Mus musculus: one gene and its partners. The protein of the gene in region 5 purifies or fractionates together with the protein of the main gene of each other region. This does not show direct contact. Links are inferred from orthologs where the notes say so. Each region holds a gene or a part of one and is shown on either strand. Other genes may lie near its edges. The genes, in order: Elavl1, Nuak1, Smad4, Nudc, Btrc, Tfap4 and Nfkbib.

The links.
Region 1: the proteins of Btrc (region 5) and Elavl1 purify together in Homo sapiens (affinity purification with western blotting; 4 studies listed by BioGRID, with this or other methods). This does not show direct contact. The link is inferred for Mus musculus from reciprocal best matches to the Homo sapiens genes BTRC and ELAVL1.
Region 2: the proteins of Btrc (region 5) and Nuak1 purify together in Homo sapiens (affinity purification with mass spectrometry; 3 studies listed by BioGRID and IntAct, counting the BioPlex papers as one, with this or other methods). This does not show direct contact. The link is inferred for Mus musculus from reciprocal best matches to the Homo sapiens genes BTRC and NUAK1.
Region 3: the proteins of Btrc (region 5) and Smad4 purify together in Homo sapiens (affinity purification with western blotting; 7 studies listed by BioGRID and IntAct, with this or other methods). This does not show direct contact. The link is inferred for Mus musculus from reciprocal best matches to the Homo sapiens genes BTRC and SMAD4.
Region 4: the proteins of Btrc (region 5) and Nudc purify together in Homo sapiens (affinity purification with mass spectrometry; 3 studies listed by BioGRID and IntAct, counting the BioPlex papers as one, with this or other methods). This does not show direct contact. The link is inferred for Mus musculus from reciprocal best matches to the Homo sapiens genes BTRC and NUDC.
Region 6: the proteins of Btrc (region 5) and Tfap4 purify together in Homo sapiens (affinity purification with mass spectrometry; 4 studies listed by BioGRID and IntAct, counting the BioPlex papers as one, with this or other methods). This does not show direct contact. The link is inferred for Mus musculus from reciprocal best matches to the Homo sapiens genes BTRC and TFAP4.
Region 7: the proteins of Btrc (region 5) and Nfkbib purify together in Homo sapiens (affinity purification with western blotting; 4 studies listed by BioGRID and IntAct, with this or other methods). This does not show direct contact. The link is inferred for Mus musculus from reciprocal best matches to the Homo sapiens genes BTRC and NFKBIB.

Annotation. Positions count from the first base shown.
Region 1 is NC_000074.6:4,286,975-4,290,902, forward strand, and holds part of Elavl1 (ELAV-like protein 1), read right to left. Parts: intron 2,951-3,928; coding exon 2,626-2,950; 3' UTR 1-2,625. UniProt on the Homo sapiens protein: RNA-binding protein that binds to the 3'-UTR region of mRNAs and increases their stability.
Region 2 is NC_000076.6:84,392,129-84,396,056, forward strand, and holds part of Nuak1 (NUAK family SNF1-like kinase 1), read right to left. Parts: intron 2,016-3,928; coding exon 1,864-2,015; intron 194-1,863; coding exon 128-193; intron 1-127. UniProt on the Homo sapiens protein: Serine/threonine-protein kinase involved in various processes such as cell adhesion, regulation of cell ploidy and senescence, cell proliferation and tumor progression. Phosphorylates ATM, CASP6, LATS1, PPP1R12A and p53/TP53.
Region 3 is NC_000084.6:73,700,697-73,705,252, forward strand, and holds the start of Smad4 (mothers against decapentaplegic homolog 4), read right to left. Parts: upstream 3,096-4,556; 5' UTR 2,734-3,095; intron 1-2,733. UniProt on the Homo sapiens protein: In muscle physiology, plays a central role in the balance between atrophy and hypertrophy. When recruited by MSTN, promotes atrophy response via phosphorylated SMAD2/4.
Region 4 is NC_000070.6:133,542,851-133,547,549, forward strand, and holds the start of Nudc (nuclear migration protein nudC), read right to left. Parts: upstream 3,178-4,699; 5' UTR 3,036-3,177; coding exon 2,955-3,035; intron 1-2,954. UniProt on the Homo sapiens protein: Plays a role in neurogenesis and neuronal migration. Necessary for correct formation of mitotic spindles and chromosome separation during mitosis. Necessary for cytokinesis and cell proliferation.
Region 5 is NC_000085.6:45,362,376-45,366,821, reverse strand, and holds the start of Btrc (F-box/WD repeat-containing protein 1A), read right to left. Parts: upstream 3,089-4,446; 5' UTR 2,984-3,088; coding exon 2,936-2,983; intron 2,742-2,935; exon of another isoform or gene 2,548-2,741; intron 1-2,547. UniProt on the Homo sapiens protein: Substrate recognition component of a SCF (SKP1-CUL1-F-box protein) E3 ubiquitin-protein ligase complex which mediates the ubiquitination and subsequent proteasomal degradation of target proteins. Recognizes and binds to phosphorylated target proteins.
Region 6 is NC_000082.6:4,546,622-4,549,829, forward strand, and holds part of Tfap4 (transcription factor AP-4), read right to left. Parts: intron 2,851-3,208; coding exon 2,710-2,850; intron 790-2,709; coding exon 634-789; intron 1-633.
Region 7 is NC_000073.6:28,763,474-28,768,151, reverse strand, and holds the start of Nfkbib (NF-kappa-B inhibitor beta), read left to right. Parts: upstream 1-1,507; 5' UTR 1,508-1,729; coding exon 1,730-1,908; intron 1,909-4,678. Other genes in the region: Sirt2 (NAD-dependent protein deacetylase sirtuin-2), read right to left, coding at 474-520, 1,285-1,300. UniProt on the Homo sapiens protein: Inhibits NF-kappa-B by complexing with and trapping it in the cytoplasm.

The DNA of each region.
Region 1 (3,928 bases), on a different chromosome or scaffold from region 5:
ACAAAAAAAACCCCTTTCTCTTGGGTTGTGACTTTTCCTCCAATGCTGGGGACAGAGCTCAGGGCTGCCCTCATGCTGGGCAAGTGCTTTAATCTCTGAGCTACACACACGTCTGGGTTCTGTATTTCTGCCCAGCCTGACTAGCTGTCATGAACGCGTCCAGGGCCAGGACCTAGTCCTTTCATAGAATGAAAACTGCTTTCAGGAATGCCTTTTCAAAGCTACTTTCTTCTAGACACTGACAAAGAAAGCTCATCAAGGAATGCACTGGGACTTTTATCTAGAGTGCTACCCAGACAGTGGAGACCACACAGAAAGAAAATGTCGAACTTGAAGTGACCTCCAGAAGCTGGTGACATTTCCCCCAGTTCCTCTCAGAGTTACTATGGAGTAAACAGGTGTTGGGTGGTAGGGATGGTATAGTGATTAAGGTGCTAGCTCTGAGCACCAGGTCCTTTAAAGACACAGTCTCTTTCAGGTGTGGAATACAAAGGCTACACGACTGAGGAGAATCCCACCTCCACTCAGAAGAATGCTGGCTAAGAAACTAGAAATGCGTATTTTATCACAACATTTTGGTCCCACGGGGAGGTGCACTCTGCACCCTCAAAGCAGAGGACCCCTCTCCTTTTTTGGTCAGATCTGGGCATATGAGCCTTTGGTTCTGGGTTTCAGGCCCTATAGGCTGGGAATTATGGGATGGAATGAGGTACTGAGCAGCACTTGACTCACTTAGGGTGGGACAAAGCCTGAGTACATGAGACAACCTCACCAATGGTAGAGAACACTGCAACGAGCCTCCAGGGAAGTCAGGAAAAGGAGGCGGGGGAGGGAACAGGCAGCCTCAATTTGTACATGGGCTTCTTGATACACTGACCTACTTTAGAGATGGCTGTGCTTTTTGCTCAGTTTTCCACTTAAGTAAATGAAACAAAATAGCTATATGTATATATATATGTATATATAACTAAACAGATATGTGTAAATAATGCTATCATACCATGATATCAAGAACTAAATACTAGCCTGCTGTTATACACTCCAGGCTTACATCAAAGTGAAGAGCTGCCAGTAACTGCACTAGCCTGTTCTCATTCTCTCCACATACTAATAAACATCAGAACAGTCCTGAGGGCTGTAGGGGTCAGGCCTCATGTGCTCTTCCCTTCCCTTTGACCTTTCCTACCAGCTCCTGAGTTAAGAACCATTGATCCATAGCTGTATTTCTTATACCATAGCTCCAGAAATGTTTTTTAAACTTGAGGCAAGTGTTTAAGGTCTGACAGACTCCTCCCTGAATGCTGGGCTGTCTGTGCCCTTCCCTAGCCAAAAAAGAAAGAAAAGGTAAAACAAAAAACAAAACAAAACTCGAGCAAAACAAAATCAAATTTAATGGTCTTAAATGCAAAAGTAAAAACAAACAAAAAACACAAAAAAGCAAAAGAAAATTAACAGAACAGAACCCCAAACGTCAAGGCAGTTATGAAGAGAACTTTGAGGGTTAATCCTTAAAACTACAAATCAAAGGATTTTGTTAATAGATAACTGGCAAGAAGTACTTTTCTGCTGAGTGTCCATACAAAAGCAAAATTTCAAAGCAAAATCTGACTAAGATTGGAAAAAGTCTAGTGCTCACAAGAAGGGATGCGAGAAAATACAATGCTCAAATGTTTCTGTGTCATTAAAAACAGAGCAATCGTTGTGCATTCAAGCTAGGTTAAATGGTCTTGGAAACTCGGGAAGTTGCATGAACAACAGTATCTGATGTGTGGGCACCATGCATGCAATGTGTGGACAGACGCTCAGGATGTCAGAGGAGTGGGGCATCTTCAGGCATGCCTGGAGCTCAGGTTTGACTCTGGAATATACTGGAGCTGCCCTGAAACTCTTTGGTCCGTTCTCATTGGTGCCTGGGCTTACAAAACACCTTTTGTGTCTCTGGAGGGCCTGGCTCAGCCCAACATGTGGAACCTCTTCCCATCTCCCCTTGTGGGAGCCCCAGAATATGGGCCCTGCTGCTGCTCCCAACACTATAGAGCTGGGACTGAGTGGGCAGGGGGCAGCAGTGGGACTGCTGGGGAGGGCAAATTTCCTGTCACCTAAAGCAGAAATTGTTTAAAATAGTGAAGCAGTTGAGAAAAAACACACTCCCCATCTGTCTAACATCTTTAGGTTAAAAACTAAAACAAAGAAATTAAAAAAAAATTTTTTTTGTTTTGTTTTAAATCCAGTCTGTGGAGACATCAGATGAAACAGGTGTTAGACAGTCTTAGAAGTAAAAGCATGCTTCAGTCCCACCACCGTCCAGAGTGACTGGTTAGTCAGCGCAGTCTACTTCGGTTTCACTTTAATATATACTTTAAAGGAAATAACTTAAGAAACTTAAAATTGGTCTAACATTTGTGGGATTTCAAGCATTTGAACATGTCGGTTGCATCCCAGAGTATAAAAACCTTTGCACTTCTCATTTAGACTAAGACAAACACTTGTGAAAATTGGCGCAAAATGAGTTGTACACTAACAAAAAAGTTTCAACTTCTTCACTCTTAATTATCTATTCCGTACAAAAAAAGAAAAAAGAAAAGGAAAAAAAAAAGAAGGAAAGAAAAAAAAAGCATGAGCGAGTTATTTGTGGGACTTGTTGGTTTTGAAGGAAACCTGTAAAATTTTGTCCCCCAGGCGGTAGCCGTTCAGACTTGCTATGGCCATTGCAGCTTCTTCATAGTTTGTCATGGTCACAAAACCAAACCCTTTGCACTTGTTGGTGTTGAAATCACGAATCACTTTCACATTGGTAACTGCACCAAAGGGGCCAAACATCTGCCAGAGGATCCCCTCATCGGCGTCTTGCCCAAGGTTGTAGATGAAGATGCACCAGCCCGAGGAAGCATTGCCGGGGACATTGACACCAGAAATCCCACTCATGTGATCTACACCCATAGGGGAGAACCTAGCAAACAGAGAGCACATGTTCAGGTCAAGGTTAAGGCCAGCAGTGTACCTGCACAATGGGGTAAGAAGTAGGATGGAGAGGGCCAAGATGTAAGGACACTTGGGCCTCTCATGCAGCCAGCACCTCTGAGCTGGAGATGCTCAAGGCTGGGATACCATGGGGTCAACTAATTTAAAGAAACTGACATATATTAGCTGTGTAAGAGAATAATGTTTATTTTAACATCTTCATAATGCATATACTTTGGTAATTTTCACCTTTATTATCCTCTTGTCCCACCTTCCCTCAGACCTTGTCTACTTCCCAAATTGTGAGGCTGGGAAAGAAACTGAGGATTGGTACTGAACCACAAGCTCACATTTTAAATTCTGGAAGTTTCTTCCACATGCTTCAGTGCAGGTGAAAGCACTCTGAAGGAGTCTCATGGTCCCTCTCCTTGAAGGAAACTCATCACATTTTGTGTGTGAGCATGTGTATACATGAATCCATGTTGGGGAAAGAGGGAGCTTCCCCCCAAATTTAGTCCCTTCTCTTTCTTTCCTTTTTCTTCTTTTTTTTTTGAAATAAGGTTTCTTTCTCTGCCTAGCTCTAGCTGTTATATAACTCTATCTCTCTGGACCACGCTGGCATTGAACTCGGAGATCTGCCTCTACCTCCTGAGTGCTGGAATTAAAGCCACACCCCTACTGCTCTAGCTATTCATTGTGATACTTCTCCCTGAGGGGTCAAAGCCCTGTAGTAACTGTATACTATGCTGCACAACGTTACTACAGAGCACAAAAATTCCTTATCCCTACCTCTGAGCTGGCTAAAACCATCTCGCAAGGGCCAGGTCAAGCTACTGAAGCCTATAAACTCAGGAGAGAGAACAAGGCTAGAGGACTCAACTAAGCTAGCAACTTAACCAACACAGGAGTTTTTCCCACAGTGATGTTCACCCCCCCCCCCCTTCCTCCCTGTTTTTCCTCCAGATGC
Region 2 (3,928 bases), on a different chromosome or scaffold from region 5:
TTTGGATAAGCCTATTGATGAGAGTCTTTCCCAGAGCCCACCAACCAGCAGAGGGAGCGGCTGTGTCAGATCCGGGCTATGAGGAGCCACGCCCACCCGCCATACCCACACCCCGGCTGAGTTTTACCTTAATGTTGCAGTTGTCATCAAGCAGTATGTTCTCCAGCTTCAAGTCCCGGTGGACCACACCATTCTGCAACGAGGAAACGGAAGAACTGAGCAGGAGCAGGAGCAGGAGCCAGAGCAGGAGCGTGTGAGATGACAGACAAGAGAGCTCTGGGGAGGGGGCAGCGGAGGCCGGGCACAGGGAACAAGTCTGACAGATGAAAGCAATGCACCAGCCAGTCCCGGTGGTCTTCACCTCCATCCTTCAGGCCTGCTCTCACTGTCAGGACGCTCCCCAGACAGCAACCAGCGACAGGAGAGCATTAGTCACTTTCTGTGTGGTTAACAGAAAAATGACTGGAATCCATTCTCCCCCCCCAGAGCCTGTAAACCAGCAGGGGGATTCTTTGTGGGAATGTAATTCCACTGTGTCTGAGACAGGGTCCCAGGGACACAGCAGACATCTCAGTGGGTGCCTTGGAGCACAGGGCCCCAGGGACAGCCTGCCTGCCTGCCTGCCTGCCTGTCTGCCTGCATCCCTCATGCTGGAAAGAGGCCTGACCCAGTCTCCTAAAGCTTTGTCTTAGATACTCCCTAAGCAGCCAGCTGGAAAGACTTGAAAGTCCCTCTCCACTCTGCAGGACTCAGGGCTGATGAAAAGGGTGCAGGCCAATGAGACCAGAGCCACTAGGAACTCTTATGTCGCGTGACCTTTTCATTCAGGCAAACTCTGGCCAATTTGGGACTGGACTTGAAAGCAGCAAGCCAGCTGAAGGGAAAGGACACCAATGGGCTGCGGAGAAGGTTCTGGGGTGGGTGGACAGAAAGAGTGCTTGGGGACCATGTTGGATGTGGATGTGGGGGGAGTAGGTTCCCAGCATTCCCCGCTGTGTAAATGGCTTCTGCGGAGAAAGCTGCTATATCAAACATGCCTGTAGCTGGTTCTTTCAGTTTGTTTTCCTTTCCGTTTGACAGCTTCTAATGTCTCCACAGCCACCAACTTGGAGAGAGATGACAAGTATTCATACTACTGCTTTTGCTAATCCAAGCTCTCAGGAGGTGTCCGGAGATTCCGAAATGCCCCCCCCCAAAAAAAAAAAACACATCTCCCAGAGGAGAGATGTGGAGTACAGGAAAGCCGACTCTGTTTGGCTTTAAATGAAATACTGCGAGACGTTTGTTTCACATGGTCACATTCCTGACTGACATAAGAAGATGGAACAAGCCTAAGAACATCCCATTCATACACAACCCACAAATTCACACACTTCAAACAACGGAAGTAGTCTGCGGTGCTCTCCAGCATTACTTAAGGCGGAGTCACAGAAGGCTGCGTGGTCTGATCATGAGTGTCTCTCGTGTCCACAGAGAGGCCAACCAAAGGTTGTGGGTGCACATGTCCATCACCCTACCCCTGATCTACAGAGACAGGCAGCACCTGAGGGCTCACTGGCAAGCCAGCCCCGTGGAACTGGCAAGCTCCAGATTCAGTGAGAGATCCTGTCTCTAAGACAAGGTGGGAAGTGACGGGGGATACCTGACAATGACCTTAGGCCTCACGTGTACACACACACACACACATACACACACACACACACACACATACACACACACACAAGCATGGGATTTGAATAGGGAGATTTTTTTTTCTCATCCTAGTCTGTAACATCTCCACACATGTCACAATGAACTAACCAAGGCTTTTATAATATTAAAGCTATAATGAGTCTACGCGCGAAGTTGCAGGCCCGGTCGTACCTTGTGACAGTAATGCACGGCAGACACAATCTGCCGGAAGAAGTGTCTGGTCTCCCTCTCGCTGAGGCGCCTGCGCTCACTGATGTAATCATACAGCTCTCCTTTGCTGGCATATTCCATGATGATCACAATCTTATCTTTGTTCTCAAACACTGTGGGGGGCAGGAAGAGAAATAAACAAACACTGTTATCCAGAAAGCCCGATGACAACCAACTGCAGAGAAAGAGCAAGGAAGACCATGGAGATGCCACTGAGCCGGATGGGGCTCAGGGAACAGGTTGAGAATCTGTGCATTCAATATCAGGGGGGCTTGGGGCAATGGTGGCTTCATTCTGTCCCTACACCCATCTTGTACAGTTGAGGTCCACACAAGGAGGAAGTCTCCTAAACAGCTGACCAGAACCAACTTAGTCTGGTTTCAGACATGACCAGGGAGCCCCAGAGCCAAACCTGGAATGGAGTCAGGACCCCTGCAGCCCTCTGGAGCTGGGTGCCCCTGCCTGCAGTCCAGTCCCTTCTCAGCCGACCTCCACCTACCATGGGTATCTTTTATCCATAATGTTTGTCAAGGCCCTCTCACCAACTGTTCCCCAGCTGTTAGGTTTAAATTGCAGTCCCACACAGACACCCAAGGGCAACACAGGGGGCGAGGAGAAAAGGCAAGGAAGAGAGATTCTAGTTACTCGGTCCACTTCAGCCACAGTCCACCAGCTGTCATGTAAGACGCCTTTAACTGTCTGGAAGTACATCCTTCCTAGAGATGCAGAGGGAACCCTAGACCCCTCCTTCTGCCAACCTCTACCTTATCAAGTCTGACCGTTCCTGCCCACTTCAATGTCCAACAATACAGAAAGAGCTGTCAGTCATTCACGTTTCTCACATTTACACACACGGTACTGCCTCCACCTCCCTGCTCTCCCACTGCCTCACCCCTACCTATCCTGGCCAGGCGTTCATCAACAGAGCCTTCGTTCAGACTTATCTGCACATCACATGCCGTCATCAGCCCCTTACATCCCTGGCCTACCCTGGCCTCATCGTACCTTATTTCCTGGTTACATATCTATTTTCCTCCGCCTGGTTGCGGAGCTTGAGCTGGGAGAGCTAAAACCTACTAACATCCTGACTTTGCTGGCTGTGTGACTCCTGGAAGTTGCTTGCCTTCTCTGTGTTTCTGTTACATCAAATGCAAAATGGGAATGAACTTAGAAAGCATTTCTTAGGACTGTTGGGAGACCGGAGGGATAACAGGATGGTAGATGCTCAGAACGAAGCCTGAACGCACAGCCTTCCAGAACCTTGGTTGTTATTGTTTATCTTAATATTATTGGACCCCCCCAAGGCCTGGCACTGAGACAAACACGCCCATTCAATGAGCAACTGAGGTGAACTGGAATCTGCCTGCCTACGGCCTGGGCTCCCTCCCCTCCCACACCTTGTCTCTGGCCTCTAGAGGGTCACCCTCCCCACCAGTTCCTCTTTGGCTCCTGCCAGTCCAGCCAACTCTCTCTGATAAAATGAAGAGGAAGGCAAGGCGGCAGTAGGAAGGTAGAGGGAGGGAAAGGGGGCAGCCAGATAAAACTGGCTGACTTCTTGGGAGTCTGCTGGCCTCTCTGTACCCAACCTCCTGGGCTCCTACCAGGATTTCATCCTGGATTGGACTTTTCATTAACTCTAAACTCTAGGAAGTAGGAGGGTGGCCTTGGGACATACGGCACAGGCTGCAAACGTGAGCGATACACATGCCCTCGGGAAGCAGTTTACATCCTAGGTTGTTGTTGTTTTGGTTTTTTAAGGTAGGAAGAAGGAAGAAAAACGTGCGTTGACACACGTGCGCATGCACACACATGCACACGCACAAATAAACAAAGCCTCTCACATCCCTGACACCGGAGTGATTGAGACTCATCTGAATATCGGGTGCACACCTCCCCGCAGACAGGACCTTCAGAAGCTGGCTCCTCCCTTTTCAACTGTACACTTCAACGCGGCTTAGCGTGACAGGTACTTCACTAAGCAACTTCTGCTGGCACAGCCTGACACTCTGACTGGGTCCCTCCACCT
Region 3 (4,556 bases), on a different chromosome or scaffold from region 5:
ATAACAGAAGTAGCTCATATGCATGCTATCTATACATATTTATCAGTTATCTGAATGTCTACCTTAAGTGAATCTTAATCAGCAGATGGGGGAAAGAACTAAGTAATCTGAGAAAGCGGTACTAAATGTGACATCCGCTCTAACTTCAGCTTCCACTTAGCACAGAAACAATGACAGCCTTTAGTCGGGTTAGCTGTATACCTGACTGAGGACCACCTGAGTCAGTCCTCCTCACGGCTTTAACCCAGCACAGTGGAGGGCCGGGGTATCCAACCACAAGGAAGCACTGAGAAAGCTATTACAAGATGCTTATAAAGAGACACTCATTCTGGGTGAATCAAAAATGAAAAGAAAAACAAAAACCTAGGCATCAACTAGATGGGGGACAAAATAGAACTGAAGTAGGTAATATTTCATCAAAAACAAAAAAGAAAAAAAAAAGGATTGTGCTCTCATCTAGAGATCAAATTTTAAAGAAGCCCAAATATGCACTTTAGATTTAACCAACTCTGCAGACTCTGCAGGGTTAACTGCCCTGGTACAGGCCCCAGCTATGCACAGCTCAATTAGAATAGTGTGTGCCAATGTTACTATAACTCTGGCTCAGTTAGAAAAATAAAAAAACAGGTTCTAACGGGGGGGGGGGGGGGGGGGGATCCTGCATAAAGTATTTTACTATTCCACCATTAATACGGCCCCTCCCCCGTGTGTGTGAAGCAGAGAATCCAGAGACAAAACTCACCAACAGAAACACTTGAATTAACATGTAGCATACATGAAAATGACCTTAAAGAAAGAGCAAGATCTGTACAACTCATATAATCAGAACTATTTCAAGAGCAAAACCATCAGGGAAGTTCAGGTCCATATAAAACACACGCCAAATCACTGCACTGACTTGTTTAGCACAAATTTTCCTTAATTCTGTAAACACAATTTTAATTCTTCCCAACTTAAGATTTACAGTGGAAGCATTTAGTCCAAAAGTGTCAACTACATCTTCAAAAACAAAAATATGTAATACCCCTTTAATGCATACTCACTCAAAAGCCTAGAAAGCAAAAAAAAAAAAAAAAAAAAAAAAGCCACCTGTCTTAAGACAGTGACAAAAAACTAAAAACCTTTATGTCAATTCTCTTTGGAAAGGATTTGTTTTAATTCCGGCAATTGAAGCCTACATAATTCATCACATCAGAAGCTGCTTCAGGCTATGGGTATTAGTCTGCCTCGGTGCATGTTTGTAACCAGGTCACTGAAGAAAACACACTCCTGAGCCTATGAGCACCGTGTCGCAATTTTGTATCCCAGCTCCGGAGAAGCTGAGAGACACGGATGGTCAGGAGTTGAAGAGAGGAGCAGGAAGCCCTAGAGACTCATGACAGTACACTGAACAAAGCATTAGGGAGAAACTGTATTTTAAGAAATATTAAAGCAATCATTTACACTCTGAAATAACACGTACTAATCCTACCAGATAGATCCAAGAGATAGAGTCTACAGTAGGGAGAAGTTTACTTCTCTGAATAGCCTATGCTACATACATTTCAACTGCAAGCGCTTCATATCCTGAATGCAAGGTAAACCTGTAAAATCTGTAACAAAAACTATTCAAATGCGGTGCTTGAAATCTAATTGCTTTGTGGAATTTATAATAGATTTCTGTACATTCAGTTAAGATTCCACACGGTTTGTGTCAGCAGAAAGTCCTGAACCTGATTCTTAAAACGTTCAAAGTCTCAAGCTACTACTGAGAGGAAAAGGATGCTAAATCTGGCAAAATTCAACGATTGTTAAAAAATTAAGCGAGATTACAAGCCTGCAGAACACGAATTCAAGGTACTTAAAATAACTCCCTCTTTATCTCGTTACTTTATTTCTAAGTAAGTGACAATCCCACCTTAAGTTATCAGAAACTGAAGGCACTGATAAATTCTAAAATGAATTACCTGAAAACCAACTTTAAAAATTAAGTTTACTCCAGGTTTTGTGGGGTGGGGCAGTGGGGAGGAGCTATCAATAAACAGGGCTTTTTAAAACCTCTGGCAAAGGAACCTTTCAAGTTAACTAAACACGCCCTTGTCTTTGAAAATCTGGCTTGAGAAATCATAACAGCAGTTTGGGGTGCTGAAGCCAACGCCCTCCACCCTCCACCAATTTCACGCTCCGTGCATGTAGCCCTAACAATAAAATAAACTACGCCTTTTATTAGGAGACACGTTTTATTAGGGGAGGGTGGTTCAGTTTGGCGCTAAGAGTGTCTCCCGCACGCCGCCATCACCCACAATACCCAAAAAGTAAACAAATCAAAGCTACAAACGTAAACTCAGAGCACACAACCAGGAAGAGAAAGTGGGGACAAAGAGAAAACAAACACTTGCTGGGGGGTGGGGGAGGTGGGGAAGGCACGAGGACCCGACCCGGGGCACCCCGGGCATAACGCACTCGGGCCGGGCCGACGCGACGGCCCGGGCCGCGGCCAAACTCCTCCCGAACAACAAAGAGCGGCGGCACGGACGGGGACCGGCGACCGAGTTCCCGGGACGGCGGGCTCGCCTAACTGCGAGAGGAGTTGGGGCCCGGGAGCCACGCGCGGGCACGCGAAGCCCCGGACGCGCGGGGGCGACCCACCCGAGCCCCGCTGGGCCCACGCTCGCGCCGGTCGCCGCGGGAGCCCGCCCCGGGGCGGGGAAGCGCGGGCGCCGAGGCCCCGGTTAGGGGAGGACCGCGCGTTACCTGGGCTCCGCGCCGCACCGCGCCTCGCCTCGCTGTCGCTTCCCGGGCCCCGCCCGCGGCGTCCGGCCCAGGCGGCCCCCTCTCCCCGCCGCGCCGCGGACCGCGCCGGCCGGCCGGGCCGCTGGAGCTCCGGAGCCGCCCCGCTGCGGGGGGCCTCGCTCGCGGGCGCCGGCTCCGGTCACGCGCTCCCGCCCCGGGGACGGCCGCGGAGCGGAGCGCGGCGCGGGAAGGGCCTCCGGAGGACGGCGGGCGGGCGGGCGGACGGACGCGAACACGGGCTCCGCCACCCGAGCCGCTCCGTTACCGCAGCGGCGACGACGACCAGGGCCGTGTTGTTGCTGCCAACTTGTCGGAAGGACACTGAGCATGCGCGCGCGGAGACCACATCCGGGTAATTTCAGGGTTTGGCCCTTCCCTCCCCCGCTCCCCTCCCGCAGCGCTCCTTTCTCCCCGCTGCCCCCGCCTCCCGCCCAGAGCAGGGAGGGTCCCAGTGCGCAGGCGCCCGCGGGCAGCCCGGCGGCTCTGGCTGAGTTTGAGCAGCGAGCGAGCAACGGCGCCGGAGGGGAGTCGCCTTTTCGCAGGATGCCCTCTTCAGACACGGAGTGCGGTTCACAGAGTACCCAAGCAGCGTGGGACAGCTCGGGATGAGCGATGGGCAGGCCCGCCGGGTTGGGTTGGCTTTTGAAGACCTTGGTGGACACAGCTGGACCGAGTGCGGGTGTTTGTAGCAGTTTACTTCCGAGCGGATCTCTCACTCTGTCCCTTTCATCACACCGGCTCCAAAAGGTTGAGCTCGGAGGCGCGCGCGACAGTCAAGGAGTCACATTCCAGGGCCTAGCCCGAGGTGGCCAAACGTGAGCAGTTGGGAAAGAGGCGGGAATTTCGAGTTGGAGGCGACCTTCAAGACTTGCTTAAGTGTACACCTGCTAAATAGGTTGTGCAGGCTGGGATGTAAAGAAAGCTCAGTTTCAGAACTTCACACCTTACAAAACAAGTCAAAACTACCTCTCATTACTTAAGTGGTCCGCTATCTAAAACTTTCAGGGCAACGTAAAGGGACAGTTCAAAATTTGTTGTCCATATACAAAGCCCTGGGTCCATCCCACCACAAAAGTGGTGCATTTGGTGGCAAAAGGCCCGTCTTTGATTTTGACTTTGTACTTACTTTCTTGTATAATTTTATGAATATTGTACTTAGTAGCTAGAACACAAGCCTGCCGTATAGTCCCTGGCTTTAAATCACAGCCCATGCATGTAAATCTTAGCCCTTGGGAAGCAGAGACAGAAGGAGCTCCAGCCTGGTGGATTTACGTGGCAAATTTCAAACCAGGACTAAATAGACAGACCCTAACTTTAAATTTATTCAGACGTCTAGGAAACATGAATTATATGTTGTCTTTTTGTTTCCTTTTTCACCTTCCCTCGGGGTTCCTTCTAGTACAGCTGTTAGACCAAGTCATTTCTTAAGTCTGTTGGAGAAACTTTACAACACACACCAATGTGTAACACTGCCCCCCCAGGGTAAGCCAAAGGGACAATTCAAAAGTTGATGTCTGCAATGAGAAAATAAATCACTTAAATGAATCGATAGTAGAATTTCCTTCACAAATCCAATTCTTCATTGTCATCAAAATTGATAGGTGCAGTACAAATTGAGTTATATATAAAAAGAGAGAGAGAGAGAGATATGAAGTTAGGAAAAGGATATTCCAGTGGGGGAGTCCAGGAGCTGTTGTAAGAAAGCCTGGAGTGGATAAGATCTATATACAATGTATAGATACATGTATGACACTCTCAAAGGATACAACTTTAAAGATTGAAGG
Region 4 (4,699 bases), on a different chromosome or scaffold from region 5:
GTTAGCCATCTCTCAGAGCACTGTTGCTTTCCAGACGGGATCTTACCATAAGGTCCAACCAGCCTCAAACTCCCAGAGGCGCACCTGCCTTTGCCTTCCAAGTGCTGGAATTCAAAGTGAGCAGTACTGCACGCCTAGAATTTTTCCAATGAGAATGATAACTGAGTGTGGCGGCACAGTGCTGAGGAGGCTGAGGCAGGAGGATCACAGGTTTACAGTCAGCCTCAGCTATGCAGTGGGACTTGTCTTGTTTCCCACAGAAATGCTGGTTTAGTTTTTTGTTTTTTGTTTTTGTTTTTTTGGTTTTTCGAGACAGGGTTTCTCTGTATATTCTGGGCTGTCCTGGAACTCACTTTGCAGACCAGGCTGGCCTCGAACTCAGAAATCCACCTGCCTCTGCCTCCTGAGTGCTGGGATTAAAAAAAAAAACAAGCAAGCAAAAAATACAACCAACAACCAAAACCACAAGACCTGTGAAAAGCAACTTAAGAGGGGAAAGGGTTTATTTTGACCTATAGTTTCAGGCTTGGCCCATCACAGTGGGAAAGACAAGGAGCAAAAGCGTAGGGAGCCGGGCGGTGGTGGCACACGCCTTTAATCCCAGCACTCAGGAGGCAGAGGAGGCGGATTTCTGAGTTCGAGGCCAGCCTGGTCTACAGAGTGAGTTCCAGGACAGCCAGGGCTATACAAAAAAACCAAGTCTCGAAAAACAACAAAAAAAAAAAAAGCAAAGCTTAGGGAGATGGTCACGTCACATCCACAGCAAGCAGGGAGCACTGAAAGAGTGTCTTGGCTCAAGTGTTTTATGACAGGCCCATGCTCAGTCGACTCCTGGGGAGAAGCCCAAGCTGGCGCAGGCCCCCAGTTAGCACGACGACTCTCACTTGCCCCAGCCCCAGCGAGAGGTTCTGAATCTGAGACAGCCATCCCTACCTCTAGACACTTTGAGTTCACAGAAACAAAGTGGATTCACTCCCAAACACTTTCACATTGTGTCAGTTTAGGAACACGCAGACAAGGTTCACATTTGCAGATTAGACAAGACTCCCCCGCTTCAAGGGTTTAGAAGCCCTCAGTTAACACAGGCACCTAGAGAAAAAGACTTCGAAGGTGTGGCAACCAGTTTTATGTGCCTTGACACAAGTTAAAGTCATCAGAGAGGAGGGAACTCCAATTAAGAAACTGCCTCCATTGGATCAGGCTGCGGGCAAGCCTCTAGAGCAGCTTCTTAAGGAGAGATGGATGGAACCCAGCCTATTGGGGGCGGTACCATCCCTGGGCTGATGGTCCTGGGTTCTAGAAAGGCGGAGCAAGCCAGTAAGCAATGCCCCTCTATGGCCTTTGCATCCGCTCCTGCCTCCAGCTCTGGCCCCCCACTACTTTTGATGATGAGCTGTTCTGTGAACCTGTGAGTAAGATAAAGCCTTTCCTCTCATCAAGCTGCTCTTCCTGCTTCATCACAGCAGTGGTCACTCTGACCAAGACAGAATGGAAAGCCATCCCCAGTGACGGGTGGCAGGAGCCCGTCTCCTCGGGGACTTGGGGGCCTGGCTTTGGGTAAACTTGTCACTCTCTGACCCTCAGGTGCTTACAGAATGTAATATCTGGGTTTTCTACCTCTACCAGCTCATCTGCTACACACCCACTGTGTGAACTAGGTCTGGCCATTTAACATCACCTATGGGTTATTTGGGGGTTATTATATTTGTGGGTCTTACTATATATCCCTGATTGGCTTAGAAGTTGCTATACAGACCAGGCTAACCTCTAACTTGTAGCAATTTTCCTGCCTCTTCCTCCCCAGTGCTAGGACTCCAGTCACGCACCATCTTATCCTGACCAGCAAGATGAATCACTGGGTAAAATTGACTGCCTCAAAATCCTAGCAACTCAACCCTAAAAACCCAGATACTGGTGGCAGGAATAAACTGGCCCCTTAAAACTGTCCTGTCACAAACACTACTACTACTACTAATAATAATAATAATAATAATAATAATAATAAATTTCTTTGGTTTTGTTTTTTTTCTGAGACAAGGCTTCTCCGTGTAGCCCAAGCTGTACTAGAACCCATTCTGTAGACTAGGCTGGCCTCAAATTCAAAGATCCACCTGCCTCTGGCTCCTGAGTGCTGGGATTAAAGCAACACCCGGCTCCAAATAATTTTTTAAAGCAAGAAACCCTCAACAAATTCCCCAAATGCAAAGCCTAGTCTCTTCCGTGTCTGCATCCCCAGGACCCAGTCTTATTATGTGTCTGGTACACGACAATGACAAGTACTTAGGTGCTAGGCAGGGTGGCCCATATCCAAGTTCCCGCACTCTGAAGACAGAGGAAGAATAACCCTGATTTGGAAGTCACTTGGTCTATATAGCAAGTTCTGCGTAAGCCAGGGATATAGAGCAAGACCCTGACTCAAGAAAAAAAAACAACAGGAACTGATATTCCTAAGCTTCACCTCACAGACGAGGTAACTGAGGATAAACCAGGAGGGAGCTTAACCTACAGGTCTCCGGCTCACTTCCTCAGTCAGTATACTTTCAAGTATAAAGAGACCACGTGCTAACCGCCCCCCCGGGCTCTCACTACCCTACACAGTATTGATAGGCAGGCTCCACTTTGGGTAAGATGCAGATCATATCGAGAAGAGTCGGCCCAGAGATGCTCTAAAGAGTAACCACCATTAGGGATGCTCTACACAGTAACCATTAAAATGAAAGCAGAAACACCCGTGGAGCGCAGAGTGGGTGCGGAAGCTCTGGGGTCACTCTGGGACAACGAAAACTGCTCTTGGGGGCTAAGTGCAGGGCGCTGACGGCGTTGGAGCGAGACTTCACTCGCGGGCTGGGCAGACCGGAAGCTGGGACGCGGGGACCCGGGGACCCGCGCGGCCGGGGTGGGGGAGGTCTCGGCCGACCGCGGAGAAGGGCTGCGGCGCGGGCCACGTCGTTTACCTCCTGCACGCCGCCCTCGTGCTGCTGCGCCATGGCCAGCAGCATGCCGTCGAAGCGCTCCTCCTCCTGCTCCCCTCCCATCGTGCTGCGCCCCGAGCTCCGCACTCGCGTTCTGCGATGCCCGCGCTCCCCACGGTTCGCGCGGGCCCAACGGCTCCCCTCGCTAGCCTTCCGCAGCGGAGCCGGAAACACGCAGGAGCCGCCCGGCCGTGCGGGTTCGCCCTTCCCGGCTTTCTTCCCGCCTCCCCGCCCATCGGTGCCCATTGAGCTCCCGGAACACAACCCGCTTCTCTGGCCATTGGCTAAGCCGAGGAGCAAATCAACAGTCGCGGTCCCAAGGCAGTGGGCGGGGCTCGCTGCCGCAGAGTTTGGCTTGAGTTGCTATGGTCACCAGATACCTGGGAGCTTTCTAGAAAGCTCTGAGCTCACATCTTAATAGGGCTGGAAGTTTTGATCAAGTGATACTGTTAGCCTTCTCCTCCTACAAGCCGCAGTTAAGACTCAGGAAGAAAGCACTCACCAAAGGGTCAACCTACTAGACGTTTAAGAAAAGAGCACAAAACTGTAGTTTGAGTAGAACAGTTTTACAAACTGTTTGCACTAGGATTAATGCTCTTTCATTACTGTCTGAAAATCCTTAGTTTTTCTGTTTTTTTGTTTGTTTGTTTTGTCGTTGCTGTTGACGGCAGAGGTGATGGCTTGTTTTGTTTTGTTGAGACATGCCCCGTGTATCCAAGGCAAAGACAAACTTGTGTTCCTGGCCTGCCTGCCTTCACTTCCAAGCACTGAGATTGCATGCAGGCTTGTATAGCCTGAAGATTCCCCACCGCCGGCGCGTACATTTATTTATTACTTTGTAAACCTGAGAGTGCTATACTGTTACAAGATTATTACATTAACTTTTCCAGAGAGCCTGGCTATCTCACACCTTGGAATAGGAACTCTTAAGGGTTGAACGTCACTCCCAAAGAGCAGGTTCCTTCTATCAGATTGAGGTCTCTGAGAGCTGGTCTGGGTCATCTCCATGTTAGAAGCTGTGCTGATTAATTTTATATCAACTTGACATTAGAGTCAGCAGAGAGGAGGGTGCCACAATTGAGAAAATGCATCCTTAAGATCCTTCTGTAGGCAAACCTGTAGGGTGTTTTCTTAATTAGTGATTGATGGAGAAGGTCAGCCCACAGTGGGTGGGGCTATCTGTGGGCTAGTGGTCTTGAGTTCTATAAGGAAGCAACACCTTCTATGATCTCTGCATCAGCTCCTGCCTCCAGGTTCCTACCCTGTTTGAGTTTCTATTCTTACTTTCTTCAAAGATGGACTAATATGTGGAAATGTAAGCCAAATAAACCTTTTTCTCCCCAATCTGTTTTTGGTCATAGTATTTCATCACAGCAAAAGAAACCCTAGTACAAGCCAGGCAGTGGTGGCAGGTGCCTTTAATCCCAGCACTTGGGAGGCAGAGACAGGTGGATTTCTGAGTTCGAGGCCAGCCTGGTCTACAGAGTGAGTTCCAGGACAGCCAGGGCTATACAGAGAAACCCTGTCTCAAAAAAAAAGAAAAGAAAAAAGAAAAGAAGGAGGAGGAGAAGAAAAAGAAAAGAAAAGAAAAAAGAAGAGAAGAGAAGAGAAGAGAGAGAAGAGAAGAGAAGAGAAGAGAAGAGAAGAGAAGAGAAGAGAAGAGAAGAGAAGAGAAGAGAAGAGAAGAGAAGAGAAGAGAAGAGAAGAGAAGAGAAGAGAAGAGAAGA
Region 5 (4,446 bases):
ACAACGGCAGGCAAGGCCAAAAGAGAAAGTAGCCAAATGTAAAGGAAAACTTAGCTTCTCCCTGTGACTGACTCAACTTTCATTCATGTGTGGTGCCCTCAAAACTACAAACTAGTACTTAGCCACCTCAGAGTCGGGCACTGTCAACACCTAACTCACAAAGCAGAGCTGAGGGAGTTCAGAACGTTCCTAGGCTAAGGATCACAGGCAGCAGTACGGGGTGATCTCACAATGTCTCTTTATGATTGCTAAGTCTCATTATTCCATAAATCTAATTAAATGGCAGGTTCCTCTTCAGAGCCAACCCTCGAAACCGGAAAACAAAACTGAGCACTTTTCTGACTTACAACTGGAAGCTGGCTGAGGGCATAAAAGCAGTACTGACTTACTCCCATCCTCTCCCCCAAGATTTCAAGGTCTCTGCTCATTTGCTTGTTTGTAAACAGGGTCTCAAGTAGCCCTGGCAGACTTAACTCCTGACCCTTCCGCCCAGTGCTAGGATTACAGACATTCACCACCACACCTAGCTAGCTTGTTTGGTTTTTTTGTTTGTTTATGGTCTGTTGACACAGGGTATAATTCCGTATGTAGCCCAAGCTGGCTTTCACCTGGCCAATACTCCTGCCTCTTCCTCACCATCCTCCTGCTTGTTCTCTTCCTCCTCCTCTCCTCCTCTTCCTTTTCTTTTTTGTGTTTTTCAGACAGGTTCTTACTATGTGCCTTTAGCTATCCTAGAACTCACTATGTAGACCAAGCTAGACTCAAACTGAGATCCACCTACCAGTCCAGATGTAGGCCACCTTCCCCAGCCTGACTCCACTTCTTAAGTACTGGAGAATAAGGTACAAGCCACAATTCCAGACCTGGGGTCTCAATATTTTAGAAGGTCAACACAGGACAGAAATTCAAGAAATGTCTTTTGGCTCAATAGAATTTTGTGAATGACAAACTTGTGTTTCTGAAGGTACGGATACAAAGTAATGTTTTTGTTGTTTGGCTTTTAGAGACAGAAGTTCTCTATGTAGTTCTGCTGTCCCAGAGCTCATACTACCTGGAGCTGGTACTCTAGACAAGGCTGGCCTTGAACTCAGAAATCAGTCTTGCCTCTGCTTCCCAAGTGTTGTTCCCAAGCCACCACAGCCCAGCTAAAATTTTATCTTTTTAATACACTTTATTTATTTATTTATTTATTTATTTATTTATTTTACGTGTATGGATGTTTTGTCTGCATGTATGTCTGTGCATCACCTGTTCACCTGTGTACATGGTGGGGGGGTGGGGGGGGAGTCCAGAAGAGGGTGGACTGGAGTTAAACCACTGTGAGTAGCCATGTGGGTGCTGGGAATCAAGCCTTCATCCTCTAGAAGAGCAGCAATGGTCTTAACTGCTGAGCAGCCTCTCCAGTCCCCAAAATAAAAAGTTAAATTTGACCAGCTTCTATAAATATGAATGGGACAATTTAAAACCTAATTTCAACTAAGTTAGTATCTATGTTTATCAAATTTGTTATGGCATTTTAGGCAAAGGCACAAAAAAACTATTCAACCAAGGAATGCTATTTGAAAGATGGGTTACAATTACTTCTGAAAAAAAACAAAAACAAACAAACAAATAAACAAAAAACCACAAGACTTGATTGAAAATAATGCATTATCCCTAAGACCACCTGTTAAGCTTAAAAAAAAAATCTATGCATCCATCCTTCTTTAGATGTAACTAGAGGCTGGTTTACACCTAGGCTATACAAGAAAGCATCAGATTAAAAGCATCAAATATCAGACTGGTCAAGGTTGCCAAAGACAAGCACAGCAAAGGAGAACCACCATACAAAGTTACAGAAACAGGGCCTAAGGGGTTGACACAGACCCTAAAAATGCAATACTCACTCTGTACTACAACCTAAAACTCACGGGCAACCACCAATCCCGACTTATCTCACTTTCTCTACTCCCTACATCCTTCCTCTGAAATTTCCTCACATCTCATTTCTCCAAGGACTTTCTTCTCACAGAAAGCAATACAGCACCTGGCTTCCCCCACTTTTTACTACCTCACCACTGAAGGCCCAAGTTTTGTTTTGATTTCTCTTATTGGTTATTAACCTTGTCCCCACTCACCTGTAACTACATTTCTTTCATCGCTTTGTCCTTACCACAAATAATTTTGACCCTCTCCTTCAAAACAGAGCACGTATCTCCTTTCTGATATTTGTAATTCTAGCTCACAATCAACACTGTCTTTCTCTCCCAGGAACTGTCACCATAGCCCTAGGTCTGAGTCCTTATCTTCTTAAATGAGGCCTCTTCCAGAGTTTGCCAACATTAGTAGAGCTAACTGGGATTCCACCCTTAGCCCTTAGGCAAAGGCTATCTTCTCAGCCCATCCTACAAAAATACTTGCCTCCCAGCCATGGTTTTCCCACTTTCGCCGTTACAGCCATCAGTTTCCAGCCCTGCCCAGTTTCCCCCTGCCCCCAGTGTCTGTCTTGCCATTATCCTATCTCCACTATTCCCCACTCCTGAGTGCACCTCCTCTCCCAGGCCTTACCCGTAACCCTGACACCGGGAAGGCCCCTGCCAGCGTCCACAGGCGTCTCTCCACCCGGGTTCCTCCGCTCTTCAGTAACTGTCCCCACGCCCCTTTCCCTCTGGGGCCCCGCGCGCCGCCAGGAGCCCCCACCTCGAATGAGCTCCCGCTGTCACTTGGCCTCTCTTCCACAAGATGGCGGAGCTGCTGCCCCCACCCCAGGGTCCCCTCTGTACCCTCCTGCACCCTCCCCCAAGCTCAGGTCCAGTCCCTCCCTCCGCCTCGCCACTGGCCTTGGCCCCCAGTCCCACTGCCCCCTCCTGCGGTGAGCGGGTGACCCTGGCCTAAGCTCAGCGACACGCCAACGCAGCCGCCTCCACTAGTCCCCTGCCCGCACCCATCTCCTCACCATAAACTTAAGCGCTTTCTCCTGCAGCACCGCCTCTGCCGGGTCCATAATCGCCCGGACTACTGGGTCTGCTCTCCGCCGGGGCCGCCCCTTTCGTGCCAGGCCGCAGCCAACGCAGCGTCCGGATCCCGCCTCCTCTTCCTTCCCCCGCCCTCTCTTTTTACCTCCTGGCACTGGCAGGGGGCCCGAGGAGGACCGCGGCTCTGCGCGTGCGCACTCCGCTGCCTCACGGGACTTGTAGTTCTGGAGGCTCCAGCGGCAAAAGGCAAGGCTACGCGGCGAACAGCAACTCCCACGGGTCACTGCGTAGAGTCGCGGCTGTGTGCAAGCCAAATGTAGAGCACTCGAGAGCCCGGAGGGGAAGTCGGCTGATGGGAATTGTAGTTTCCAGTCTCTAAGAAGGCAAAGCCGGAGTGTCACCGTGGTTACCAAACGACGCCAGTGGCTCCTTGCCTGGCATTTGATAGCAAGATGGCGACTAGCGCTTCCTCTGTATTCCAAATACTAGGAAAATAGAGAACTCAGGGTCCTTGGTTCTCCCTAATTGTGATTTTAGAAAACCAGACCCTCCTAAAGTTCATACATCTGGCATCTGCAGAAAGATTGAGACCTAGAGACTTGAGCCAAGTGTGCATGTAACAGCAGCCTCAACATCAATGCAAGATTCCGATAACATCCTAAGCTATTATTGCCTCTTTTTTTTCAGAAGAGCCTTTTCTCTCCCCAAGCAAGCCAGGGACAGATAGAACTCACTCCAGGAAACCTTGAGTTTAGCGCTCAGAAAGTATGAACTACCATTGCTAACCCTGAGATCAAAGTCCTGTGTTACATAAATGAAATTCAATGACTATCAAGCAAGTGAAATCTATAAGTAGTGTCTTTGGCCATAAAAAGCCAGAAATGGGAGCCGGGCATGGTGGCGCACGCCTCTAATCCCAGCACTCGGGAGGCAGAGACAGGAGGATTTCTGAGTTCAAGGCCAGCCTGGTCTACAGAGTAAGTTCCAGGACAGCCAGGGCTATACAGAGAAACCCTGTCTCAAAAAACCAAAAAAAAAAAAAAAAAGCCAGAAATGGGCCAGGTGTGGTGGCACATGCTTTTAGTCCCAACACTTAGGAGGCAAAGGCAGAGGCAGGTTGATGTAGTGAGTTTGAGGCTAGTCTTGTCTACAGAGCAAGTTCCAGGACAGCAAAGTCTACACTGAGAAACCCTGTCTTGAAAAATACAAAAGAAAAGAGAGGGACAAGATGGGGCTGGGGAGATGGCTCAGTAGATAAGAGTGCTTCCCATGAAAGGACAAGGACCTGAGTTCAAGTTTCTAGCACCCACATAAAAAGCTGGGGTATATGGGCTCAGTGGTTAAGAGCAGTTGCTACTCTTGCAATGAACCTGGGTTCAATTTCCAGCACCCACATGATGACCCACAGCCACTACTGTGCCTCACCTGGAGTAGATCTTTAATTAGGAGAACATCATTGGCCAAGAGAGAATGGTACTTAGGAATAATACAA
Region 6 (3,208 bases), on a different chromosome or scaffold from region 5:
CACATATCACATGAAGGTAACATGCACACACCCTTGCACATATCCTCACATGAAGGTAACATGCACACACCCTTGCACATATCACATGAAGGTAACATGCACACACCCTTGCACATATCACATGAAGGTAACATGCACACACCCTTGCACATATCACATGAAGGTAACATGCACACACCCTTGCACATATCACATGAAGGTAAGAGAAAGTTCAGGACCAGCTCACAGGCTGAACTAAGACTGATCACCAGGAGGCTCTGAGAACAAAACTTCCCAGGACCAGCAACATGGTTCAGTGGGTGAAGGCACTTGCCACCAGGCCTTATAAACCTGAGTTTATAAGCTTCTGACCCCTTGCAGTCCAACATGGTAGAGAACTCGTTCGGCAAGCAGTTCAGATAGACAGGCAGGAACACATGCAAACATGCACACGTGCACGCGCGCGCACACACACAGAGTCATGTTAAGAAAGGAGTCAGGCACAAGGAAGAGGACCTATCCAGTCGTCCAGATCTTTCCTCCTCCTACAGGAGCTCCATCTTGCTCTTGATCCACATCCTACTTCCTGATCTCCAAGAAAGAACATGTCCTCAAGAGTCAGTTCCCACAAGCCCCTTCCCCGAGCCCACACACCTGCACAATGGTGTCCAGATTTTGCCGGGATGTAGAGACAGAGTTGATGACTGAGGAGGGACCCATGGTGACAACATTGATGTGGTGGGAGGAAGGCGGGGCTGGTGCAGGCACGATCACTGTGGGGTGGTGGGTGGGGGCTGGAGGAGGCAGGAGCTGCAAAACAGAAGTCCTGTTTCTAGCCCACCAAATTTCCTTACTCACAGGGTATCTGCTGGCTTAGATCTTAAATGCCCACCCCCAAGTCCATGTAACAAAGGCTTGGTCTCCAGTATGGCAGTATTAGAAGACAGAAACCTGTGCTGAGGCTAGTGGTACATAGCTCTCATCATGGCTGTCAGAAGGTTGGACAGGAGGAAGACAAGCTCAAGGCCCACATGGGATACATGGCAAGGCCCTCGTGGGTATGTGTGCTGCTTGTATGTCTCTGTGTACCCTTTGTTTAAAAAGTAGATTTATTTATATATTTATTTATTTATTTATTTAATGAATGTGAGCACACTCTGTCTTCAGGCACACCAAAAAAGGGCATCGGATTCCTATTACAGATGGTCGTGAGCCATCATGTGGTTGCTGAAAATTGAACTCAGGACCCCTGGAAGAGTAGTCAGTGCTCTTAACCGCTGAGTCATCTTTCCAGCCCACAAGGCCCTCTCTTAAGACAAAAAAAATACAAAAAAAAAAAAGACACATTTATAAAAAGCCGGTCATGGTGGCACATGCCTTTAATCCCAGCACTTGGGAGGCAGAGGCAGCTGGATTTCTGAGTTCGAGGCCAGCCTGGTCTACAAAGTGAGTTCCAGGGCAGCCAGGGCTACACAGAGAAACCCTGTCTCGAAAATACAAAAAACAACAACAACAAAAAAAAAACCCTGACTCAAAAAAGAAAACCAATAATAATGATTATTATTGTAATTATAATAATGGGGCCAGGTAGAAGTCCTTTAGGTCAGTGGGCTGGCACATTTTCCAAGAGATCAGTAAGAACCCAGCTTTTGTCTTTTTCTCTCTTTAGTTTCTAAGTCATGAAGTGAGTAATTTTGTTCCTGCCATGATCTATCACTTCACCAATCATGCACAATCTGAAGTCTTTGAAATTTGAGCCAAATTCCCCTTCTCTCTTTATAACCTGGCTGCTTCAGGTGCTTGTTACACTTATAAAACGCTGACAAGTAGAAAGAACCAAGCGAGTCACAACCCCACCAACCCCTCCAACACTAGGAATGAAGGGAAGGGCAGTGAGCGGCTTCCATACCACCCCCACCCCCCAATCCTCTGGCCCTTTTGCTTGTGGCTCAAGAAGCACATTAAGACCTGATAAATGACTGTTCAAGAGTAGAGACTCTGGCTGGGCATGATGGTGGCACACACCGTTAACCCCAGCACTCTGGAGGCAGCTGACAGAGCTCTGTGAGTTCAAGGGTAGTAGACTGGTCTAAATAGTGAGATCTGACTCAAAAACAAAAAACAAACAAACAACAATAACAAAAACAAAAAAAACAAAACAAAACAAAAAACAGAAAATAGTGCAGAGTATGAGCCTGGGATGTACTCAGTGTTAGAATGTGTGAGCCTGGGATGTACTCAGTGTTAGAATGTGTGAGCCTGGGATGTACTCAGTGGCAGAATGTGTGAGCCTGGGATGTACTCAGTGGCAGAATGCTTGCCAGACATGCCCTGGGCTCAGTCAGCACCACCAAAAAGAAAAACAAAAAAGAAGAAGAGAAGAAAGAAGAAGAGGAAGTTGAAAAAAAAAAAAAGAAGAGGAAGATGAATAGGAGGAGGAGGAGGGGAGCATAGATCCTGGATTAAGGCAGAGAGGGTTCAAATTCCTGCTCCAGAGAATTACTTCACCTTTCTCTACCTTATTTTCCACAGCAATAAAACAGTAAGCAGCTCAGGCTTCAAAGGACTGCCGTGAGGATTGTGGCCTATGTCCCAATGCTCTCAGACAGCTAAAACGCAGCATGCCTGCACAGCTATTTGTACCTACATAGTCTGAGACCCACCTACAGATTCTGAGAACCCCGCGACGGCCCTCGAGGGCCCCCCCTGCCTCCTGGAGTCCCCGCTCACCTGGGTCCGTAGGTGCTGCTGTTCCCGCTCTAGCTTCTCCTGGTGCAGCAGCCGCACCTGCTCCTGCTGCTGCTGCAGCTGCACCTGCTGGGCAATCACCTTGAGTTTTTCCGGGTACATGTGGGCCTCGAGGGAGCGCACCTGCAGGTGGGATAGCACAGCGCTGAGAGGTGGGGCAAGGCCACACCTGCTCCACCAGTGGCGCTAACACCACAGGGCAATCCTAAACCGAAAACCCTGACAGAGAGCGCCCCCTCCAGGGCAGACGGAAGGCTCTCCCCTTCTCACCTCTAAACTTTTGTCTCTACTGTTTCCAATACAAAAAAACAAAAAACCCTTTCCCTTCTGACTGACTAGCTGGTTTCCTTATAGAAGCCATGAAGAACAACCTGGGGAACCAGGTCAAACCCTTCCTGGTGCCACAGCTCCTATGGAGTCTTATTTCAGCTGTATTTGTATTTGTGTGTGTGTGTGTGTGTGTGTGTGTGTGTATGTGTGT
Region 7 (4,678 bases), on a different chromosome or scaffold from region 5:
GGCCCAAGCTGCCTCTCCTTTCTCCATCCTCCTACCTCACTTCCCCCCTCCCCTGCCCCCCCCCATGTGCTGGCATTACAGGGGGCTGGCACCACACCCAGCTTCGATACTTTTATAACGTGCCCTATAGGGTCCTTTCCCCCACCTCATAGGATCTGAGTTTGCGGATTGAACTGGAAAACCGTCTCTTTCAGGTCCAGCACAAATGAGGTTCAGAAGGGGCTGAGGATGGGATGGGCAACAGTAGGAAACGAGGACGATATGGAAGGGAACCAGGGGTTGAGGCTATACATTTTCCTTGACAGTCCCAAGAAGCCACCATTCTCCCAGGAGATTGTACTAATCCCCAGATGGGCTTGGGGATCAGGGCCATAAGCCAAGGGCCCTTGGGTAAAAGCCTTCCCTTGCCACCTCCCCCCAGTGCGGCACGTGGAACCAAGTCTCTCCTTCCCTCCACCCCTTCCCCATCTCACCTGAGCCTCCTGCACCTTCCCTGCCTGGGTCTCCAGAGGGTCAGAGGCTGGGGAGGAGGGGAGCAGACGTGGTTACAGTGCGGGGAAAGAGTTAAGCAGAAGGGCTCACAATGGTGGAGGACAAGAGGACCCACCAACCTAATTATTTCAGAGTCAGGGATGGTAGTAAAACTATCGGAGATGGGAAAAGGCATATTTTAGAGTGGAGGTATGTGTGACGTGAAAAGGCTGAGGAGGGGAATCTTTAGGAGGAGAAAGCAGGCGAGACTGGACTGAAGGAAGGTTTCAGAGTTAAGCAGGATATGGTAGCATGTGCGAGTCGAGAGAATGAGGGAGGGCTAAGTTTTTCAAGAGACGTAAGTAGGGATACTTCTGCTGAGAGTTGAGTGTGGGAGAGGAGATGCAGTGAAGGTAGGAGGTTTAGGAGAGGCACAAGAACTGAAGGAATGAGATAGTAAGGGGCCACAGGGGTCCCCGGAACCCATCCTACAGTTGCCCTTAACAACAGACAACCTTAGCAACCGGGATAGTGGTAACTTTGGTCCTTAGCAACGAGGGTCCTCAGCAGCCAAAGTACGAGAAATGCGATCATTAAGAACTTGACAATCGGACCCTTACATTTCACAATCCAGAAACCAACCAACCTAGTAATACGGACCACTTAGCAACACCCCTCCGAATCCCACTCCCTTCAGGTAGATCCTGTCTCCCGCCCCACCGAGCCTACCCTCGGGCCCCGGGGCCTGCAGCCCAAAGCCAGGCCCCGGCGCGGCCCGACCCTCCCACCCTCCCAACAGGGCCCCTAACTCACGGTCCGGCTCGGCCATGGGAACGGGGTGGGGGCCCTCGGGACTGTCACCGACTGCTCTGTCCCGTGACGGCAGCGGAAACAAGAAGAGGCCGAGATAGGATAGAGAACTACAACTCCCGGCAGGCAATGCGATCCCCATAACCGCTTTCGTACAATGTGCCTCTCATGTTATCAAACTACAAATCCCAAAAAGCCTGGCGCCGGCGGCCATATTGATAAAGGGCGTCTGGAAAATGTGGGGAAACTCAGCGAGCGAATGTCCACCTCATTTTTCTGATTGGCTGTGGTGCAGTACAGGGGCGGGGTGTAGCTATTTAAAACATTTTGATTGGGTATATGAGGGGGCGTGTTGGGGAATTCCCGATAGGGCGGAAGCACTGGAGCTCATCGCAGAGCCCAGCGACAGGCAGGCGACCACAGGGGGCCACCCGAGGTGGCTGGGGCCATGGCCGGGGTCGCGTGCTTGGGGAAAACTGCGGATGCCGATGAATGGTGCGACAGCGGCCTGGGCTCTCTAGGTCCCGACGCAGCGGCTCCCGGAGGACCAGGTCTGGGCGCAGAGCTTGGCCCAGAGCTGTCGTGGGCGCCCTTAGTCTTTGGCTACGTCACTGAGGATGGGGACACGTGAGTAAACCTTAAATTACTAGACTGAGCCCTGGGATCTTACCTGAGTCCCCTTTAGCCTACGATTCCTGTGACTTCGTATCGTCTCGTTCCTAACTCTTGATTTCCGATGCTGGACTTCCTGGCCCTTAACCCCCAAACACTAAATTGTGAGACTGGTACGCTTTCACACAGTCAAGTGTCTCACCTTTTTTGAACTCTATAAATTTGAGCTCCTGATCCCCAAATCGGATCTGAACCTTTCCGACCACTCTAGTTCCCACATCTTCTTACCTCTTACTTCCAGATGTAGTCTTTGGTCTTTGGCTATTCTTGTATAAGCCAGATTTTGATTTCAAAACTAGTTCTTGGCCCTGAGTCTCTGAAGCTGACACGTCCAGTATTGACCCTGCAGTTAAGAAATTGAGCTGGTGGGTGTCATGGCTCTCACAGCACTTGGAAGGCAAAGGCAGGTGGATCTCTGTGAATTTGAGGCCACCTGATTGAGTTCCCTGCCAGCCAGAGCTACATAAGATGTAGAAACTCTATTCTATGAGGCTAGATTCATCTGTTAGCCAAATGCTTCTCCCAAACTACCACCTTCCAATCCCTGGTTTTAGTTTAGCTGAGTGTGATGGTACACACTTGTCATTCTGGCACTCGAGGGGCTGAGGCAGGAGGATCACTAGTCCGAGGACAGCCTGGAAGGACCCAGTATCAAAAAGGAGGGAAGAGGAAAAGGAGGAGAGGGTGACTGAAAAAAGGTTAAAGAGTAGGAAATGTTGATTAGTAGATAAGCTGGGGAGAAGGGATGGTTGTGGTGACGGCGTGCATTAAGGGATTGTACCCGGGATTTTCTTGTCCTTTGTGCTTATTGCGTATGCCCAGTGACTCAGTGCCTGACCCATGAGGGGAACCCAACAAACACTCATCTTAAAGAGCCAGGAGTAGTTGCCTTAGTTTTCACTTTCTACTTTGTTGGTTCCTGTTCCTTTATTATTTCCCTCTGGTTACTTTGGGTCTGGTTTTTGTGCTTTCTTTATCCTCCCCCTTCCTTTCTCGATTGTTTGTGTTTGACGGTCTCATGTAGCCCAGGCTAGCCTTGAGGTTACTTTGTAGCTGAGGATAGCTTTGAACATTTCATTCTCCTGCTTTCAGCTCCCAAGTGGGTATCACTACATCCCGCCTGGGGAGTGTGTGTGTGTGTGTGTGTGTGTGGACTAGAGGGCAACCTTGGGCTGCACTGAGCACGTAGGCTAGACTAGCTGGCCTGAGAGCCTCAGCGGTCATCTCTTGCTCTCTACCCTCCTCTTCCTCTTTGAGACAGGGTGGCTGGCCTGGAACTCACTATGTAAACCAAGCTGGCCTCAAACTCATCCACCTGCCTCTGCCTCCGGAGTGCTGGGATCAAAGGCGCGCACCACTGTGCTCCATTCCAGGGTTCTCCTCCCTAGTGTTGGGACTATAAATACTTACAATCACACCCAGCTTTTTCTTATGTGGGTTCTAAACTAAGGTCACTGTGCTTTACTTAGCAAAACATTTCCCAGCCTCCAACCCCACCCCCCTTTTAAGTCAGTGTCTCACTATGTAGCCCAGGCTAGCCTTGAACACTACTGTAAAAAAAAATGAATCCTTTTTTTTTTTTCTTCCGGCCACTTAATTCCCAACAATAAGGACTCTGGCATTAACTATTTATTAATAAATGCCTTGGCTACAAGCTTTGGCCCATTCCATAGCTAACACATAACTTATTTAACCCATTTAAATCATTCTATGTTTTCCTTCAGTCTCGGGCCTGCTTCTTCCTTAGCATCGTCTTTCTCGGTGTCTCTCTCAGTGACTCCTCCAGTGTCTCTCCCTGTGTCTCCTTTTATTCTCTCACTATTTCCCAGAATCCTTTCTTTTCCTGCCAGTGTCCCACCTCCTATTTCCTGCTTCAGCTCATTGGCCGTTTGCTTTTTTATTGACAGGTGTTGCCTATAAGAGATTCTGTCTACACATTATGAAATTTTTCTTTGGTTTATTTTATTTATTTTTGGTTTTTTGAGATTGGGTTTCTCTGTGTAGCCTTGGCTGTCCTGGAATTCTCTATGTAGAGCAGACTGACGTTGAACTCAGAGATATGTCTGCCCCTGCTTCCCAAATAATTTTACTTTATGTGTATAAATGTTGGATCCCCTGGAACTGGAGTTAGGGATGGCTATGAGCCACAATGTAGGTGCTGAAAATCAAACCGGGGTCTTCTGCAAGAGCAACAAGTGTTTTTTGTTTTTTTGAGACAGGGTTTTTCTGTATGGCCCTGGCTGTCCTGGAACTCACTTTGTAGACCAGGCTGGCCTCGAACTCAGAAATCCGCCTGCCTCTGCCTCCCAAGTGCTGGGATTAAAGGCGTGCGCCACCACTGCCCGGCAGCAACAAGTGTTCTTAACTGCTAAGCCATTGCTCCTACCCTACCCTACTCTTGGTCTTCCTGCCTGGAATTCCGGGCAAGGTGGTGCGTGCCTGGTTTATGCAGAGTTGGGATTGATCCCAGGTTCTTATGCACGCTAAGCTAGCAGTCTACCAAGCAAGCCACTGCCCAGCTCATCTCTCTTCTTTTCTAATGTGCTTGGAATGCTGTAAATATTCCCTCTGGAGAACTTCTGATATATTGTGTTTTTATTTTTGCATAAATGAGTATATTTTCTAATTTCTCTTGGTTTCTCCTTTGGCCAGTAGGTTATGAAGAAGTATGTTCATTTTTCACGCTTGGAGGAGTTTCCAGATCTCTCTGTTACCAGCTTTAAAT